Yarrowia lipolytica: one gene and its partner. Each later gene encodes a partner of the first gene's protein in a complex. Links are inferred from orthologs where the notes say so. Each region holds a gene or a part of one and is shown on either strand. Other genes may lie near its edges.

The links. The genes of interacting proteins can lie anywhere in the genome.
Region 2: YALI1_E06068g (region 1) and YALI1_E12244g share a complex: the UniProt entries of both Schizosaccharomyces pombe proteins name them as parts of the RNA polymerase I (Pol I) complex. The link is inferred for Yarrowia lipolytica from reciprocal best matches to the Schizosaccharomyces pombe genes rpa49 and rpa2.

What each region holds. Positions count from the first base shown.
Region 1 is NC_090774.1:603,859-611,065, reverse strand, and holds YALI1_E06068g (uncharacterized protein), read right to left. Parts: upstream 4,225-7,207; coding exon 2,992-4,224; downstream 1-2,991. Other genes in the region: YALI1_E06109g (uncharacterized protein), read left to right, coding at 79-2,550; YALI1_E06065g (uncharacterized protein), read left to right, coding at 4,528-5,037; YALI1_E06056g (uncharacterized protein), read left to right, coding at 5,411-7,207. UniProt on the Schizosaccharomyces pombe protein: DNA-dependent RNA polymerase catalyzes the transcription of DNA into RNA using the four ribonucleoside triphosphates as substrates. Component of RNA polymerase I which synthesizes ribosomal RNA precursors.
Region 2 is NC_090774.1:1,220,145-1,229,799, reverse strand, and holds YALI1_E12244g (uncharacterized protein), read right to left. Parts: upstream 5,416-9,655; coding exon 1,918-5,415; downstream 1-1,917. Other genes in the region: YALI1_E12295g (uncharacterized protein), read right to left, coding at 205-260; YALI1_E12223g (uncharacterized protein), read left to right, coding at 6,951-6,964, 7,490-8,405; YALI1_E12211g (uncharacterized protein), read left to right, coding at 8,529-8,585, 8,640-8,798; YALI1_E12206g (uncharacterized protein), read left to right, coding at 9,204-9,655. UniProt on the Schizosaccharomyces pombe protein: DNA-dependent RNA polymerase catalyzes the transcription of DNA into RNA using the four ribonucleoside triphosphates as substrates. Second largest core component of RNA polymerase I which synthesizes ribosomal RNA precursors.

The DNA of each region.
Region 1 (7,207 bases):
CCTTTTAGCTATCTCCAGTAGACGCACAGGGACAACGCATAATACATCCACACTCACCACACTCACCACACCCACACAATGAGATTATTGACACGGCTACTGGTGCTCGTGGCGTCGCTGGCGTTATTTGCGCAGGCTGACGATGACCTCAGCACAAAAATCAGCTCCACCATCAACGAGTTTTCGGGACTCATTGTTGAGCACTACTATCTCACCAACGATATGACCAATGCGTCTCCCGACGACGCCGAGGTGGTGCTGTTGCGAACCTCCAAAAACGATCTCTATGTCACTTACAACCAGGGCAAGACCTTCAAGCAGGTGCTCAAGGGCGAGGACATCATTGCCATCTACCCCAACCCCCACTTCAAGAACCGAGTTTACTTTTTGACCCCCGACGAGAAGGTCTTTTTCACCATTGATAAGGGCGAGTCATTCAAGTCGTTCCGAACACCTGCTCCCCCGAACCAGCGAGGCCTGCAATTGATGACTTTTGACCGAAACAACAAGGACGCTTTCATCTGGACCGGATCCGAAGGCTGTGAAGACGAGCTGTCCCCTCGATGTAAGGTGGTCACTCACTACACCAACAACAACGGAGGCCGATGGACCGAGGTCGGCAACGGAGCCATCATGTGCCAGTACGTTAACGGACTCAAGGATCAGAAGCGAAACAACCTCATGTACTGTCTGTTTGAGTACAACGAGGGTGGCGTCAAGAAGTCCCGACTGGCTTATTCTACTGACAACTTCCGAAACCAAAGAGTGACCCACGAGAACGTGCTTGATTTCGCTCTTGCTGAGGAGTTCCTCGTTGTTGCCGTCATCAATGACGAGGACGAGACTCTCGAGTGCCAGACATCCGTGGACGGTGAGTCCTTTTCCGTGGCTCGATTCCCTCCGGACTTTAAGGTCCCCAAACAGCTGGCCTACACCGTTCTGCAATCTACCACCCACGCCATTTTCCTGCATGTTACCGTCAACGGAAAGGCCAACTCCGAGTACGGCGCCATTCTCAAGTCGAACTCCTACGGTACTTCGTTTATGCTTTCTCTCAATGAGGTTAACCGAAACCGAGTCGGCTTTGTCGACTTTGAGAAGATGGCTAACCTCGAGGGTGTGGCTGTCTCCAACATTGTCATCAATGCCCGACAGGCCTCCAGGGGTTCGCGAAAGCAGCTCAAGTCCATGATCACCCACAACGATGGTGGACAATGGGCATACCTGAACCCTCCCCCCGCTGACACTGAAGGCAAGGCTTACTCGTGTTCTGGACAGTCTCTGGAGAAGTGCTCTCTTAACTTGCACGGCTTCACCGAGCGAAAGGATTACCGAGATACTTACACGTCTGCCTCTGCTGTTGGTATGATGATCGGTGTCGGTAACGTCGGAGAGTACCTCGAGGGATACCTCGACGGAAACACTTACCTTACTGTCGATGGTGGTATCACTTGGAGGGAAATTAAAAAGGGAGCGTACATGTGGGAGTACGGAGACCAGGGTTCTATTCTGGTTATTGTTGACGGAGAGGAGCCCACCAACGAGGTATTCTTCTCTCTCGATGAGGGTGTCACCTGGAACCCCTACAGATTCTCTGAGGATCTTGTCAAGGTTGATGATATTTCCACCGTGCCCAACGATAACTCTCGACGATTCCTGCTTACTGGTAAGTCTCCCCGGTCTAAGGGAGAGCAGTCTACCACCGTTCACATTGACTTCTCTGGCCTCTCTGACCGACAGTGCAAGCTGGACGAGTCCAATCCTGACCGAGATGACTACGAGCTGTGGTCTCCCAGAAACCCCACTCAGCAGAGCAACTGTCTGTTTGGCCACGAGACTCAGTACTACCGAAAGCTGGTCGACTCCAAGTGCTACATTGGCAGACAGCTCATCCAACCACACAAGGTTGTCCAGGACTGTGAGTGCACTCGAGAGGACTTTGAGTGTGATTTCAACTACGTCCGAGACCGAGACGGAACTTGTAAGCTTGTCAAGGGTGCCAGTCCCCCTGATCACGCCCTCCAATGCAAGGAGAACCCCAACCTCGTTGAGTACTACGAGTCTACCGGCTACCGACGAATCCCCCTGTCCACTTGTAAGGGTGGCCAGGAGCTCGACAAGGCTGATGCAATTCCTTGCCCTGGTAAGAAGGGCGAGTTCAGCAAGAAGCATGGTGGTGGACTTGGTGTCATCGGCACATTCTTCGTCATTATTGTTCCTATTGCCATGGCTTGTGTCATTGGATTCATGATCTTCCAGCACTACCAGTCCAAGTTTGGTGTCATTCGACTGGGCGATGAGGACTCGTTTTCCTCCAGCTCCAGCAACCCTGTCGTCCAGCAGGCTCTTAAGGGCCTGGCTTACGTTGTTGCAGGTATCACCATGATCCCCGAGGCTCTCAAGGGCGTCGGCGAGTTCGCTCGAGGCATTTTCGGCCACTCTGGAAGTAGCAACCGACCGTGGTCAAGAGACTACGCACCTGTTGATATCAACGAGGACGACGAGCTGCTTGGAGATGACATTGAGAGCGATGCCGAAGAGGTTATCTAAGCTCCACATATGTATAAGATTAATGATTAATGAGGTGAGTATGTATTGTGTCGTGTAGCTCTAGAAGCAATCTACTACTCTTATGTGCGTGTACTTTCACCAGGATCGTTGAGACATCGCACAGTACAAGTAATTGTTACTTGTGTGTTTGTTTACATGTGCCGTGGTGATTGTGGTACATCTCAAAACTTTCGGAAATACCGAGTATATTCAACTTTTTTCGTCAGTAACTGTTGGTCAGTAGCAGACTTGTCGACATCGCTGTGTCGAGTCGCTGGAGGGGTCCGCTGTGATTTTCACTGGATCAAAGCGAGCCATTGCCTAATGGCCAACCAGAGTGAGAATTTGAGCAATGTTGATGCAGTGCTCTCTACTTCGCTGTAAGAATATTTCATCTCGGATTCATCCAAATCTCCACCCATTATCAATCTATGCATTAGTCTATTTCTTGGCTCTTCGTCGTCGCTGGGCAAGCTCTGGTAGCTTAAGCGGAGCCTTGAGCGAGGCAATCTTCCAGTGGCTAGCCTCGGTTCGAGGTCGTCCGATATCATCCATGTGAGTCAGAGAGGCGTTCTTAATGGCGCATCCCACCTGTCTGCAAACGTCAGCAAGCTTGGAAGGCTTGATTCCAACCTCCTGCGACAGAATGGGAATGTCTACAACGTTGTTGTTGAGTCTCAGCACAAGAATAATGATAGTACACAGCAACATTGCCTCATTTCTGGAGTTGACCATGTAAGTGTGGTACCGTTGTGATTTGTGACCACCAGAAAGGGGAGTGGTGTACCGGTAGAGCATCTGGTCGATGAGGTACTCTGGGGGGTTGTTGAGTCTGGTTTTGATATCCTCCCGCTTCTTGACGTGACGATCTCGGTAGAATCCAATCAGCAGAGACAGATAATAGAGAAGAGAGGTCTTGTACATGGTCTCGTCGGTCTTGTCGGTGATCTTGTAGAGACTGTCTCGCACCATTTGTGAGGTTCGGTAAGGAAGCATGTCCACTCGCTTGCCGATATCCTGCTCGTCCAGAATGGCCTCGCTTCGAATGTACCCAGCCTCCTCGTCGGTGAGGTATCCCTCAACAGGATAGATCTCGTTGACATCCAGAGTCTCGAGGTTATGCTTAGGGATGGGTCGGGCATCATCCATTGCCATGGACACCTGCTCTTGAGTGGGTAGGTTGGCAGTGGCAGTAGCGACAGCCTCCACGACATCGTCCTCAAAGTCAACAAGCTCGTTGGAATCAATGTTGTTTCGGGCCAAACTGGCAAGGGTCTTCTTTGCCTTGAGAGTTCCAAACTCGTTACCCAGGTTGACTCGCTGTTCTCTGTAGGACTTCTGCTCGGTGTTCTCAGCGACTCTCTTGGCTAGTTGCTTGGACATGGCCTTCAGCTCAATGCTTTCGGCGGGGACCAGATCAGCCAAGCCCTTAGAGGAAATTACGGCAACGCAGTACTTCTCGTGGTCCACAGGCACACTGGTGTATCGCATTCGGGAGCTTTTTCCCTTGATGGAGGTCTCTCCATTGTCAGACACGGACGAGAACTTGGCGTCCTTAGGGATGGACAAATGACCGCAGTCAGAAAGAAACACCTTTCCATCGTCCTGAACCTTAGCGACCTTGATTTTCGTCAGCCGCTTGCTCGAAGCCTTTCTCTTTTTGTCGCTGGCCATGCTGGTGTGTATGTATCGTGGGTTTGAATAAAGATATTTTCGAGCACCAGATTTTTTCAGGCTTTGCAGATGAGCTGCAGGGTTAGGTTATTGTGCTGATAGAGGAATCGCGAAGACTGCGGATGTAGGACTTATTCAAGGAAAGCAGATTGTAAATGGTAACTATTTGACAATAGCATTGGACAACTGTATCATTTTCAATTCCTCTGATATTGTGATGATCTGGCTACACTATCTATAAATTTTGCCTCACAAAATTAGAGTTCACTATTAAGAAATTTATGTGGACCTCGACATCCCACTATGAACAATTACTGTGTATACAAGTTTTCAAGTCGTTCGACTTCAGTACATGTACGGGTCTTGACTGATTCCCGCCGTTCCAGTATTCTACCTCGAATTCGTCTTTGTCGTATAAAATATCTCTCGTGGCTCGTCCAAATGATGAAGTACGTGCTTAATAATCTCGCTACCTTCATGAATTACTGCAACAGTACAGTACAAGTACAAGTACTGTACTGTACTTGTATTGTATTATGTAATCCCGATTTTTCTGAATGGTCCTGCTCATTGTTTCCAGCCCCACTTTCATTGCCACTATTCTCAGCCCCTTATAGTACACTCTCACATTCGTACAAACCGGTACATACTCTACCAGACTTTGTATGTACGAATACAGTAGTACCTTGCACTTGTATGTATGTGTTCTCGTACTCGTATCGTAGGTCATGTGACATTCTCTGTGTGTGTGTCTTACTACATGCTATTACCCCCTCTCTACCGTACATGGCCCACCCACATATCTCCGTATAACAGGACAACGGACCGTGAAGCACCTGACACAGCTCATATGACACAGCTCATATCCCAGAAGAGGACTCCGTCCACAGGGTCATCGTGGGCATCGGCCCCCTTGTGGTTTCTTTGTCCTTCTTACAGTAGTGCCAATAATATCCCTACACATGTAACCTTGGTCTTCACGTTAGTGGTATGAAAGAATGAAAGCAAAAGCTGGGGAAATGTGGTAAAAAAATACTAGAACGAGTGACCTGTTTTTGGTGCTTGTAGAGTCGAAAATATTATACTTATCTTAATAGTCACGTTACGCGCGGCCGGCACACGTATCATATCTCCGTACATCTTTGTACATCTCTCAAGCGGGTACACTTTATCACGTACCAAGGTCATGCGGAAGGATGGTCACACAGCAAGAGGTAAATCTCAATGCAGAACCGTGAGTGCTAAAAAATACTACCACAACAAAACAAGAGCGCGAACGCATGGTGCAGAAGTGACAGTTTTGCTTTTCTCCGACAAGCACGATTTTCTTCTTGTGCAGGTACCTACACCTTCTCTCTTTTGCTATAAATGGCTTGATTGCGCTATTCTCATCCTTACACACACACACACACACACACACACACACACACATACACACATACCGACGATGTTGCTACAAGCGTTTGTTTCTGTTTTAGCACTTCCAGGGTCTCTAGCGCTTCCGCTATTCGATCAGAAGCCTCTGTTGCTGGCACCATACGCGAGACCAAACGTGACACTCATTGACGCCCAGAAATTCGAGTTGTGGCTCGCTCAGCAGACTCATCACGCCTTTGAGTCTGTCCTCGACAATGTGGGACACCAAGGTAGCAACAACGGTCTTCCCGTAGGCGTTGTTATCGCTAGTCCCTCTAAAACGGCCCCTGACTACTATTACCAATGGACTCGGGATGCTGCCATCACCATGGACTCAGTTGTGCGGCGGTTCTATGACCAGGCTAGTCAAGGTATACTGAACGACACACTCAGCAACATCATCATGGGATACATTGAGACTCAAGGCATGTTGCAGCACGTCAGCAATCCCTCCGGGTACTTTGACTGGAACAGACGTGTTGTTAGTGGTTTGGGAGAGCCTAAATTTGAGACTGACGGCTCAGCATTCACAGGGCACTGGGGTAGACCTCAGAATGATGGACCTGCACTCAGAATTAAAACGATCTCGCATTATATTCAAACCCAGGTGGAGTGGAATGAAACAGCTTCTCTCGACGACTATGTGTATATCTACAAGTCTATGATCCTACCCGATGTCGAGTACATTCTACAGTATTGGGATCAGCCGACTTTTGATCTCTGGGAGGAACTGGAGGGCTACCATCTCTTCACTTCTCAAGTGCAGTTCAACGCTCTCATTAACGTCGTGGAACTTGCAAGACATTACTCAGATCGAGAGACCGAAAGCAGATGTACATTCACTGCTGGATCGATTCGACAATTCATCAAGACACATTTCGAGGCTGGTTCTCGGCTGAATGCACAATTTGAGCCCAGAAGTTTTGGAAGGTCGGGCCTTGATTCCTCCATATTCTTGGCCGCTCTTGACTCGGTTAGATGGGAGTCTAGCATAGCTGCAGGTACATCTCTCAAGCCCTACGACGATCTTCTCATTGCTACTATCATGCCTTATGTGCACTCCTTCGACTACCCTATTAATCATCAACGATTAGCTGAGTTCGAGGAGTCTTTCCAGGATGAAAATCCTGGGTACGTCGCCGTTGGTGTTGGTCGTTATGCTGAGGACGTCTACGATGGAGTGGGAACCTCTCATGGCAATCCTTGGTTCATCTGTACCGCTACCATTGCAGAGACCATATTCTTCATTGCTCACCACTTGGCCCAGCAGTCGTCTGATTTTGTTCTTGAGATCAATAGTCTCACCAAGGAGTTTTATGGTACGTTTGTGTCTTCTGACCGCATTGCTAGAGACTCCGAAGAGTATCAGCATCTGTTGGACCGTCTCGTTGACCTCGGTGACTCGTTCTTGGATGTCATCAGAGAGCATCAGGCTAACAATGGAGATATGTCGGAGCAATTCAATAGATACGATGGGTTCATGCAAGGAGCTGAGAAGCTGACATGGAGCTACGGCAGTTTCTGGTCTGCTGTTAGAGCTCGCCAGGAAGTTATCAAAGGGACCAGT
Region 2 (9,655 bases), about 620 kb from region 1:
TGAAACCGAGGAGGGGGTTTCGTAGTAGTTGCCAAATGAACATTTGGTATGTTCCAGATCAAGGGTCATGTTTGAACTTCAGTAACCCCAACACCTGTACCTGAGCAAGTAGAAGGCCGCTAGACCGCTTAATCGTAACCCCGCCAATGGAACACTGAGCTCCAAACACCCAATATCCCAGACACACATGGCGTCCACTCATACCATGACGATCTCGTCGTAGACCCCCAAAAGAGAAAACAATCTGCCACAACCTCCATAGATTACTCACATTTTGTGTAACGAACGCCGTCTGTCACTGGTTTATAGACGTTGTTGGCCGTTCAAAAATGCCTGGTCTGTTGTGTATCTGTCGTACAAGTAGCCTTAGTCTGAGTTAGCAGGAAACCAAGAACAGAGCCAGAGCCAGACCAGCCCCGCTCACGACAAGTTCCATCCATATCACCCCTTCTCTGTCACTCTGTACTCACCTCCTCCTTGCTGGTATCCGTCTAGCCAAAAAGTGGCGTGTGAAAAGTCGTGTTTTTTGTGGTGGGCGGTTGTTGCTCGCCAGTAAAGATGTCTGAGTTAGCTCGGCCCGTGTCCGTGTCGCGTGTCACGTGACGTCCTCTTGTGTACTCACCACGACGCCTGGGCAGCTTTGCCGTATAAATAAGTTGAGCCGGGGGGTTTTGGGGTAGAGGTGTTTTGGGGGAGAGGTGTCTTAACTACGCTCTAGTTTAGAATCCCGCAGTGGTGATAATGCTTAGTTTGAAACCTTGTTTCGCGATGAATATAAAATGAATTTAAATATAAAAAATTAAATTAAATATAAGAAATGTCAAAAAAATGGGGAAAATGGGGAAAAATGGGAAAAAATGGGAAAAAATGGGAGAAAAAAGTGGAGGAGTGTTTTGGGGATGGTTGCGCGGTTGGACAAGTGTTTGATTTGTGTTTTCGATTATCAAAATTTCGATAGAAGTATTTTACTATGGTGTCAGTGGTACGATGTTGCACAGCTTATAGAGTGTGATTGTTTATCAGTTAAAAAAAGGAAAAGATCGAAGAAAAAAAAATACTGAAAAAAAATACTGAAAAAAATACTGAAAAAAATACTGAAAGAAAACCGAAGTACTTGTATACCACTGTACTTGAATCAATTCTGTATTAATGACACTTGGGAGACTGTTTTTCGCTTAACCCGTACAAGTTCGACTTCCGACTTTCTCAACATATGAGACTTGAATTGTAGGAACATGACGGAAGGTCCATGTTCAACTTCAGCCCGGCAAAGAGCACGGAACCAACAGGAAAGGAAAGTCACTCTGGAGATTGCCATTCCGGAAAAGAGAGGTACTTTTACTTGTATCTAAAGGGTTCCAATTACGAGAGACCCGACATCTGCCGCCATTGGAACATCCTTCAAGTAGGGAAGTTCGAATCAGAAGACAATGTGGGATCTGGAAGATGGGCCAAATGTGGAGTTCAAGCAGTGAAATAACAAATTCTGTTCTGACGGCCCAATCCGAGTGTATGTGTAGAAAAACTTGCCAGTTTAGTGAGAAACTTGGGAGTTTATGTGGTGAGCAATACTTGGGAGTTTAATGGAGAATTACTTGATAGTTAAATGATAGTTTAACTAGTAATTCTGAGTTTAATGAAGAAATACTTGGGAATTAAGAGATAGTTTAACTAGTAAGTGTTTCATCACCTTCCAGTTACCACTCTTACCTCGAACAGCAAACCGCAGTCTCTTAGATGATCAAGAGAGGCGGTCTAGATTCGAATCGATATACCGACTGCAAGACCCATGTGCGATGGCACCTGTTTGAGACCGTACCGGCAATTTACCCCGTACTGTACTTGTACTCTACGTTAATATCTATCAATTAATTATAAGCATCTCATCCTCCATAACAAACCATTTTCTAACCCCGACTAAGGATCAATGTTGTACTTCATCTTAATACCCATGGCCGACAGCTCCGAGTTGAGGTACTTGAGCACAAACGGAATGGCCACCGTGGTGGTATCATCTCCTCCCACAAAGCAGTTGCCAATGGCGTCCTGCCACATGCCCTCAGGAGGCGAGTCCCAAGAGAAGGAGTCCTTTTCGAGCTGGGTGGCACATCGTCGACACTTGACGCCTCGTCGATGACCGGTGGTGCTTTGGGCCTCCTGGGTAGCAGTGAGAGAGCCACATGTTCGACACATGCTGGTCTGGGTGTAATCGGAACAGTTGAGCAGACGGTCCTGTAGCAAGTATGAAGTTCCGTGGCCAATGAGCGCGTCTCGCTCCATTTCTCCGACTCGAATACCTCCAGATCGCTTTCGACCCTTAACGGGCTGCATGGTCAACGGGTTGACCGGTCCGGTGGATCGCACCTGGAACTTATCGTTGACCATGTGACGCAGTCGCTGGTAGAAAACCACGCCGACGTAGATATCACATCTCAACTCCTGACCGGTGACTCCAGAGTACATGGGCTCGTTTCCGTGGTAGTTGTAGCCGGCCTTGAGCAGCTGCTCTCCAAAGTACTCAGCGGCGGTGTTGGTCTCGGAAAACTGCCAGGGAGTAGCATCCTGAGCCATTCCGTGCAGAGCTCCGGACTTTGCCGCCAGAGACTCGACAAACATACCAATGGTCATTCGCGAGGGGAAAGCGTGGGGGTTGATGATAACGTCAGGCTGGATGCCGGACTCGCTGAAGGGCATGTCGTAGGTGGGCCACTTTTGCGAACACACACCCTTCTGTCCGTGTCGAGACGAGAACTTGTCTCCAATGACGGGCGATCGGGGGATTCGCAGCTTGACGGTGATCTTCTGAAGCTCACCGAGGGAGTCATCACCCAGCAGCTTCACCTCCTCCACAAATCCAGTCTCACCAGACTTGTACTTGAGGCACATGGTCTTGTTGGAGTTGGAGTCGTAGTAGGCGGCAATGGGATCACCGTTAGACAGCTTGGCGCCCACCAGAGGAAGACCATCAACGTCCAGAGTCTGAGTCCACTCTCTGGGCCAGTTGTCGGGGCCAAAACCAAAGTGCAGAAGAGTAGGGTCGCCGGGTTTTTGCTTCTCGGTGAGATCCACCTTTTCGGTCTTGTAAATGGTTCCGTGGCCAAATCCTCGCTCGTGTGCAGACTTGTTGATAATCATGGCATCGTCCATATCGTATCCCGTGTAGGAAATAACGGCGACAACCGCGTTCATTCCGTTGGGGAAGTTGTCCAAACCGTACTCATCAAACAGGCCGGCTCGCACAATGGGCGATTGCCCGGTCTGGAGTCGGTACATCTTGTTATCACTTCGGTGAGTCAGGACACCGGGAGTGCCCATGGCCTGCTTACCCATCTGGCACTGGTACATGTTTCGGGGCGACTGGTTGAAGTCTGAGAAGGGAGTCATGTTGGCCAGAATCGACAGAATGTTGGTGGGCGAGTACTCGACATGGGAATGCACGTTGGTGATCTCGTCAGGGGTGACGGCCACGTTGAGGTAAACCTGCTCAAAGGGACCGACAATGTCCTCCTTCTCAGTTGCCAGATGCTTGACGGGTCGCATGAACCGAGAGGCCTCGGCAAACAGATACAGACCGGGATACTGACCTCCTCGAGAGGGAGGCACCAGACCGACCTCGAGATCCTGGGGCAGTCGGGCGTCTCCGGTCACCTTCCACTGTCGAATGGTGTTGGCGGCCTGCTGGGCAATCTCGTGAGTACACCATCCGATAATCTTTCCGTCGAGCATGACGACAGACTTTTGGGGGGTGTTGGCCAGGGCTCCTGCGGGAGAGATTCCGAGCTGGTTGAGCACAGAGTCAATGTCTCCCACGTCGCTCTTCTTGACGGAAATCAGACACTTGTGTGCCAAATGGTTCAGAAGACCACAGGGCGAACCATCAGGGGTATGAACGGGACACAGGAAGCCCCAGGACTCGGGCAGCAGCTTTCGCACGTCAGTGGTTTTGAGCTCGGCGAAGAAAGAACCTCTATGGATCATTCGGAAATGGGCAATGAATCGGTGGAAGTTAATCTTCTCGACGATGACGGTGTAACCGGTGGTCTGCTGCAGATCCAGACCCGTGTGAGACACCAGGTTTCCGGTGGACAGGAAGTAATGCAGTTTTCGGCCAATGTCCTCGTTAATTCGCGGGCAGATTCGCTGCATGATTTTGGGGTCATCCAAATGCAAGGATTGCTTCTTCTTCTGCAACTCGGTTCGCACCGTGGCGCAAAAGTTGCTCAGGTACTCCTCCATTCGCTCCTTGATGATCATGCCGTAGAGGAAGCCGCCGAGCAAAACCTCCTGATGCTGGACGGCATCGGGGTTGTCGGGGGAGCACTCAGACGCGACCAGGGCGTACAGTTTTCGGATCATGAACAGAAGCATTCGGAACTTGTCAGTGTTGTCCTGCAGGTGGACCAGAATGACCCGCTTGAGCATGAGTCGGCCGACATCTTCGTTGGACATGTCCTTAGGGGCGTCCATGACGATTCGGAACTTTTCTCCCAGGAACGCCAGGTTCTCCTGCTTGGAGGTCAGCTTGTAGGACTTGTAGTTTCGCAGCAGCAGTTCCAGACGGTCGGTCAGGAACGAGTTGGAGCCCTCGGAGGCGACAATGCCGTCAAAGATTTCTCGGTCGTTGGTTTCCACCAGAGCCTTGAGAATCATCATGACGGGCACCAGATACTCGTTCTTTCGCCACGAAAATCGCATTGTGATTCCTCCGTCGGACAGGTAATGCAGCACGTTGGTTTGGGACGACTGGTCGGGTCGCACCGATCGGATCTGGACTCCGAACGTGGTGTAGTTGCTTCCACGCTTGGTGAAACTCTTTCGAATGATGGCCAGGGGGTGGTTTCGTCGCTGGACAATCAGCAGACGGATGAGCTTCTCCAGACCGTTGATGACAAAGTATCCTCCCTGCTCCTCGCTCTCCTCCTTGTGGGCCACCATATCCTTGGGACCCATGCCTTCCAAATGACACCGGTTGGAGCCCATCATGATGGGGATCATACCAACATCTCTGCTTTCAAACTTCTCGGGGCCACCGTTGACCGAGTAGCCCAGAGTCAGCACCATACGGGCTCGGTAGGTGGCCATTCGCTCACGGCACTCGCTGGGAAACACCTTTCGGTTGATGGTGGTCTTGTCATTGGCAGACACCGTGGGTCGGCCCAGTTGCACGTTGGCAACCCGGATCGCCAGCCGATTGCCCAGATTCTCGTCGTCTCCGTCAAACACCACCCGCTCGCCAACCTCCTTGGCCGCCAGGTTGAGCAGAGAGTCCATGCCTCCCTCCGTCAGCGCGTTGAACGACCCGATGTGGGGCGCCACGGCGTCTCTGAGTAGCGGGTACTTTTGCTCATCTGGCGGGTTAGCAAAATACTCCTCGCGCTCCAGCGTGTGGAACGACGCCTTTTTCGTTTCACTCATCTTGTTGTGGTAGTAGTGGTGGGAGGAAAAAATTGGACATGTGCAGTGAAATAAAATCTTTTGAAAAGTTTATCCACCGTGCGTCCCAGATGCACGGGGTTGGAGTCTCGGTTGGGGCTGGAAAGACCCGAAGAGGAGGGAAATCGGGAAATACAACGTTAGTTCTGGAGTCATAATTGCATTGCCAAAAGAATGCACTTTTCAGAATCGCGATACCGGCTTTAGTTGGCCCATTCGTCGCACATCTCCAAAGCTACAAAAAAAGTGAAAAACTCAAATCTTAGCCGAGTTTCTCCACTGGTGGCGAAAGAAGTTGTCAATGAGACTTGGGGGCGCTTTTAGACCGACAATGAAGACATAATCTGCAAAAGAAGATGGATATGAGTAGGATGACATCTTTTGAATCATCAAATAATGTCTCCAATTACCCATTTGAGACTCCCCCAACTCCAACGTCTATGAAACTCAAAATGGTGAAATGTGCGCTTGAAAAAGGACGGTGTGTGGGTGAATAGTGAACAGATTTGATTTTTGAAAGTAGAACCAGGATCGGAATGTCTGGAGGAGCATCCTGATATCTTTGCTCTCATCATTATGTTACTCCTAACGTCTGCTCTGGCCAGAATCAGTTGCAAAGTCACCCAACTGGAAGTCAAACGTCTCCGTTGGGGCGAATCAAGGCGGATATTGCAATGAAATGTCTCCTTCGGTGTTGACATGTTTTGTGACAGTTGATATGCTTTGTGGCAGTTGTTATGAATGATTTTTGATCGCGGGTCGACCTTCCAACCACTAGCTGAGGGATAAATCACTCACTCATCTGAAGTTGGTCAACCTGATGACGTGCTCAGTGCGAAGATTCTCCTGATGAGTCTCCCTAGTCGAGAGAAGAGTCTGGTCATTGGAGGGCCTCCCAGAAGAACCCGGCAGAACGCAACCTATCTGATTGTCAGAGTGTCCAAAACCTCAAATGTGTATCATCTAGGCCATATTCCAAGTGATAGAACAGTGTAATCCCTTCTGACGTTTGGAGGACTGTAGGTCTCCAGAAACTGACTCCAAAGGAAGATGGCCGTTGGTATCCATACGGTGCATGTCGGATCCTCAAGGACAGTTGGAAAAGCTCCGTTAAGACTGTTCCGTAACCGTCGCAAAGGTCATCTTTTCACCCTGAGTCAAGGGAAACTTCTCCAGCCGAACCCTTGGAGTTTTGACCTGAAGTCTCGACAGATCCATGAATCATCTGGTCAGATCCATTGACTCATCTGACATCTGGTAGATACCTCTCAATGGCCTTGTTACCAGGCACAAACCTCACGAAACGTAGTTAGAGTCCTTGAGTTCAATGTCAAGTCTCCTCGGATCGCCTACGTGACATCCGCGCAACCATTTTGATATCATGAACGGTAAAAAAGCTGCTTCGCATACTCAGAGCGTCCTTCCCTCGCGATGGTGGAGACGCAACTCAAATCTGCATGGGATATGCAGATGAAAATAAATCTTGGAAATTTTGATCATCGCAGAACCACGCGAAAATGGCGAAAAGCAGGTGAGTTGGAGCCAAGGACGACATCCAGAGATGGAAAAATCATACAAACAGACCTGCCGCCGGTTAAATGGAAGTACCATGATGCTCGAGGGAAGGAGGGTGTGAGATGGAGCAGTCGCGACCGATCAGGATAGGTCTGGGAACTGCTGCGTGGAGTGACAACGCCACGTCAAGAGCAGGGCCAGGAGGGGAAATCACATGATCTTTTTGCTGATCTTACTCTATGACATATTATCACTCACCCGGTCCCCCTACGTTTGGAATAACGCGATTGAACAGAACGATTCTCTATCTCAAACCCAGCTTCCCCAAAGAATGTGATTACGATGTTATCACGTGATGCAGTGACGATGGAAACATTTCCTGTATCATCCTGTCATTCTCTCGATACCACTGTTGCTTTTCATAGCGTAATCGCTCGTCTATTCAGGCACCATTATGGATGTTACCACCCACGCATGGAACATCACTTGATTCTCTCCTCAGATATCACGTGATCCAAACCCCTTCGACGCGCTAACACAGATACGAATACGTGAAAAACTTTGAGCAGGAAAACCATCTTCTTCCCGACTGTCATATCGTGGTTCGAGTTGATGGTCGAGGGTTTCACAAGTTTTCAAAGTTCTACAATTTTGAGAAGCCCAACGATCTCAGAGCCATTGAGTTGATGAACAAATGCGCCGAGCTGATTGTGTCTCAATTTGATGATGTTATTATGGCTTATGGCGACTCCGACGAGTATTCTTTTCTGCTGAGGAGAAAGTGTTCTCTGTTTGAGAGAAGAGAGAGTAAACTGGTTAGTACCTTTGCTAGCACGTTTACGAGTTATTATGTCGCATTGTGGGGGAGGTATTTCAACGGAAATGAGTCACGTGATGAGACACGTGAGACGACTGAGGAGCTGAAGGAGGAGGAGAGGAAGGAGGAGGAGCGGAAGGAGGAGGAAAGGAAGGAGGAGGAGAGAAAAGCAGTCAAGTCTGAACCACGTGACGACTCACGTGACTCTCGCTCAAACGAACTTGTGATTCACATGCTTCCTACTTTTGACGCTCGATGTGTCGTCTATCCAAACGCGCAATCTATCCGAGACTACTTTTCGTGGAGACAGGTGGATTGCCATATCAACAACTTGTACAATACGACATTCTGGACGTTGGTTCAGCAGGGAAATATGACTACGCAGGAGGCTGAGCAGCGGCTTAGCAAGACCGTCAGCAAGGACAAGCATGAGCTGTTGTTCACCGAGTTTGGACTCAACTACAACAACGAACCGGACGTGTTCAAAAAGGGAACGACCATTGTGAAGGAGTTTGACACTACGGGGCTCAGTCAGCGGCAGGTGGAGCGCAAGATGAAGAAGATGGGGAGGGTGAGGGTGATGCATTGTGATATTATTCGAGACGGATGGTGGGATGAGAGGAAGTGGATTTTGGAGTAACCCATGACGACTGGGGTTGAGAGAGTCACGTGAACATATTCCAACGACAAGAATCGTCACGTGTGTTTAATGCTTGTCTCAATGTGATGTACGAAAAGGCTCGTCGATGATATTGTTGATTCCATGACTTCAATCCAAGTCTTGTGGGTTCTCTCGTCTAGTCCCATCATTGGTATGAATGTCGGATGAAGAGAGGGACCAAGTAGAACAACCGAAGGGATTAAGAATCATTAGAGGAATGTGACGAATGAGGAGATTGAAGAAACAAGCAGATGCAATAGGTACTGTACTTGTGCAGTGCTGTCTTGGAGAAGTACAAGGTCTAAAGGTGTTGGTTGTGCATCCATGGTTGAAATACTGGCAGTATCAGATCTGGGTCCGATGGGCCGTTGACTTCGCAGTTAGATGTTTGTAGATGTGTTTGATGTTGTCTAAACCCACGAATACACCATAGATTCGGACTGGCGAAGGTTTTTCTAGGTGCGGGCGTCTCGGGGAATGCTCTCGTACCAAATTCGAACCGGTGAGCCGATTATTCAGCGCACCAGAAGGTTGCGATATTGGGCGACAGTGCTCAACCCGGGTCAGAAGGTCCAAGTTGACGAGTTTGGGTCGTATTGGCAATCTGACAAATCCCAAAGATTCAGCTCGTGCAATTGAGCAAATTCCACTTTTCAGAGTCTCTAAATCTCCTCTCCTTCGTCCAGCAGCGGCTCTTCTGCTTCCCTGGCGTTTGTAGATATGAGTCTAACATCACAACAACCAACTTAGACTCTTACTCACCACTTTTTCTCAACAATGATTCGGGCCAAGTTCACCGAGTACAAACAGGCTCTGCGAAACAACTGGGTGGGCCAACCGCAGTACACTGAGAAGGACTACCCGGATATTGACGGCAAGAATTTTGTCGTCACTGGCGCCACCGGAGGAGTGGGTCTGGAGGTGACCAAGCTGTTGCTGGACAAAAAGAGCCACGTGATCATGGTTGGCCGGTCCAGAAGCGATTGGCAGCCCGTCCTGGACCAGCTCCAGAAGGACCACTCGCACGGCACGTTGGATTTCGTGGAGGCCGATCTGGCAGACTTGACCACAGTGCAACGGGCAGGAGAGTACATTCGAACCAAGTACCCGACTCTAGATGGCGCCATTTTCAACGCCGGAGTCATGGCCCCGCCCTACTCTCTCACTCCACAGGGCCACGAGTCGCAATGGGGAGTCAACGTGGTCTCGCACTTTCTGTTGGCCAAATA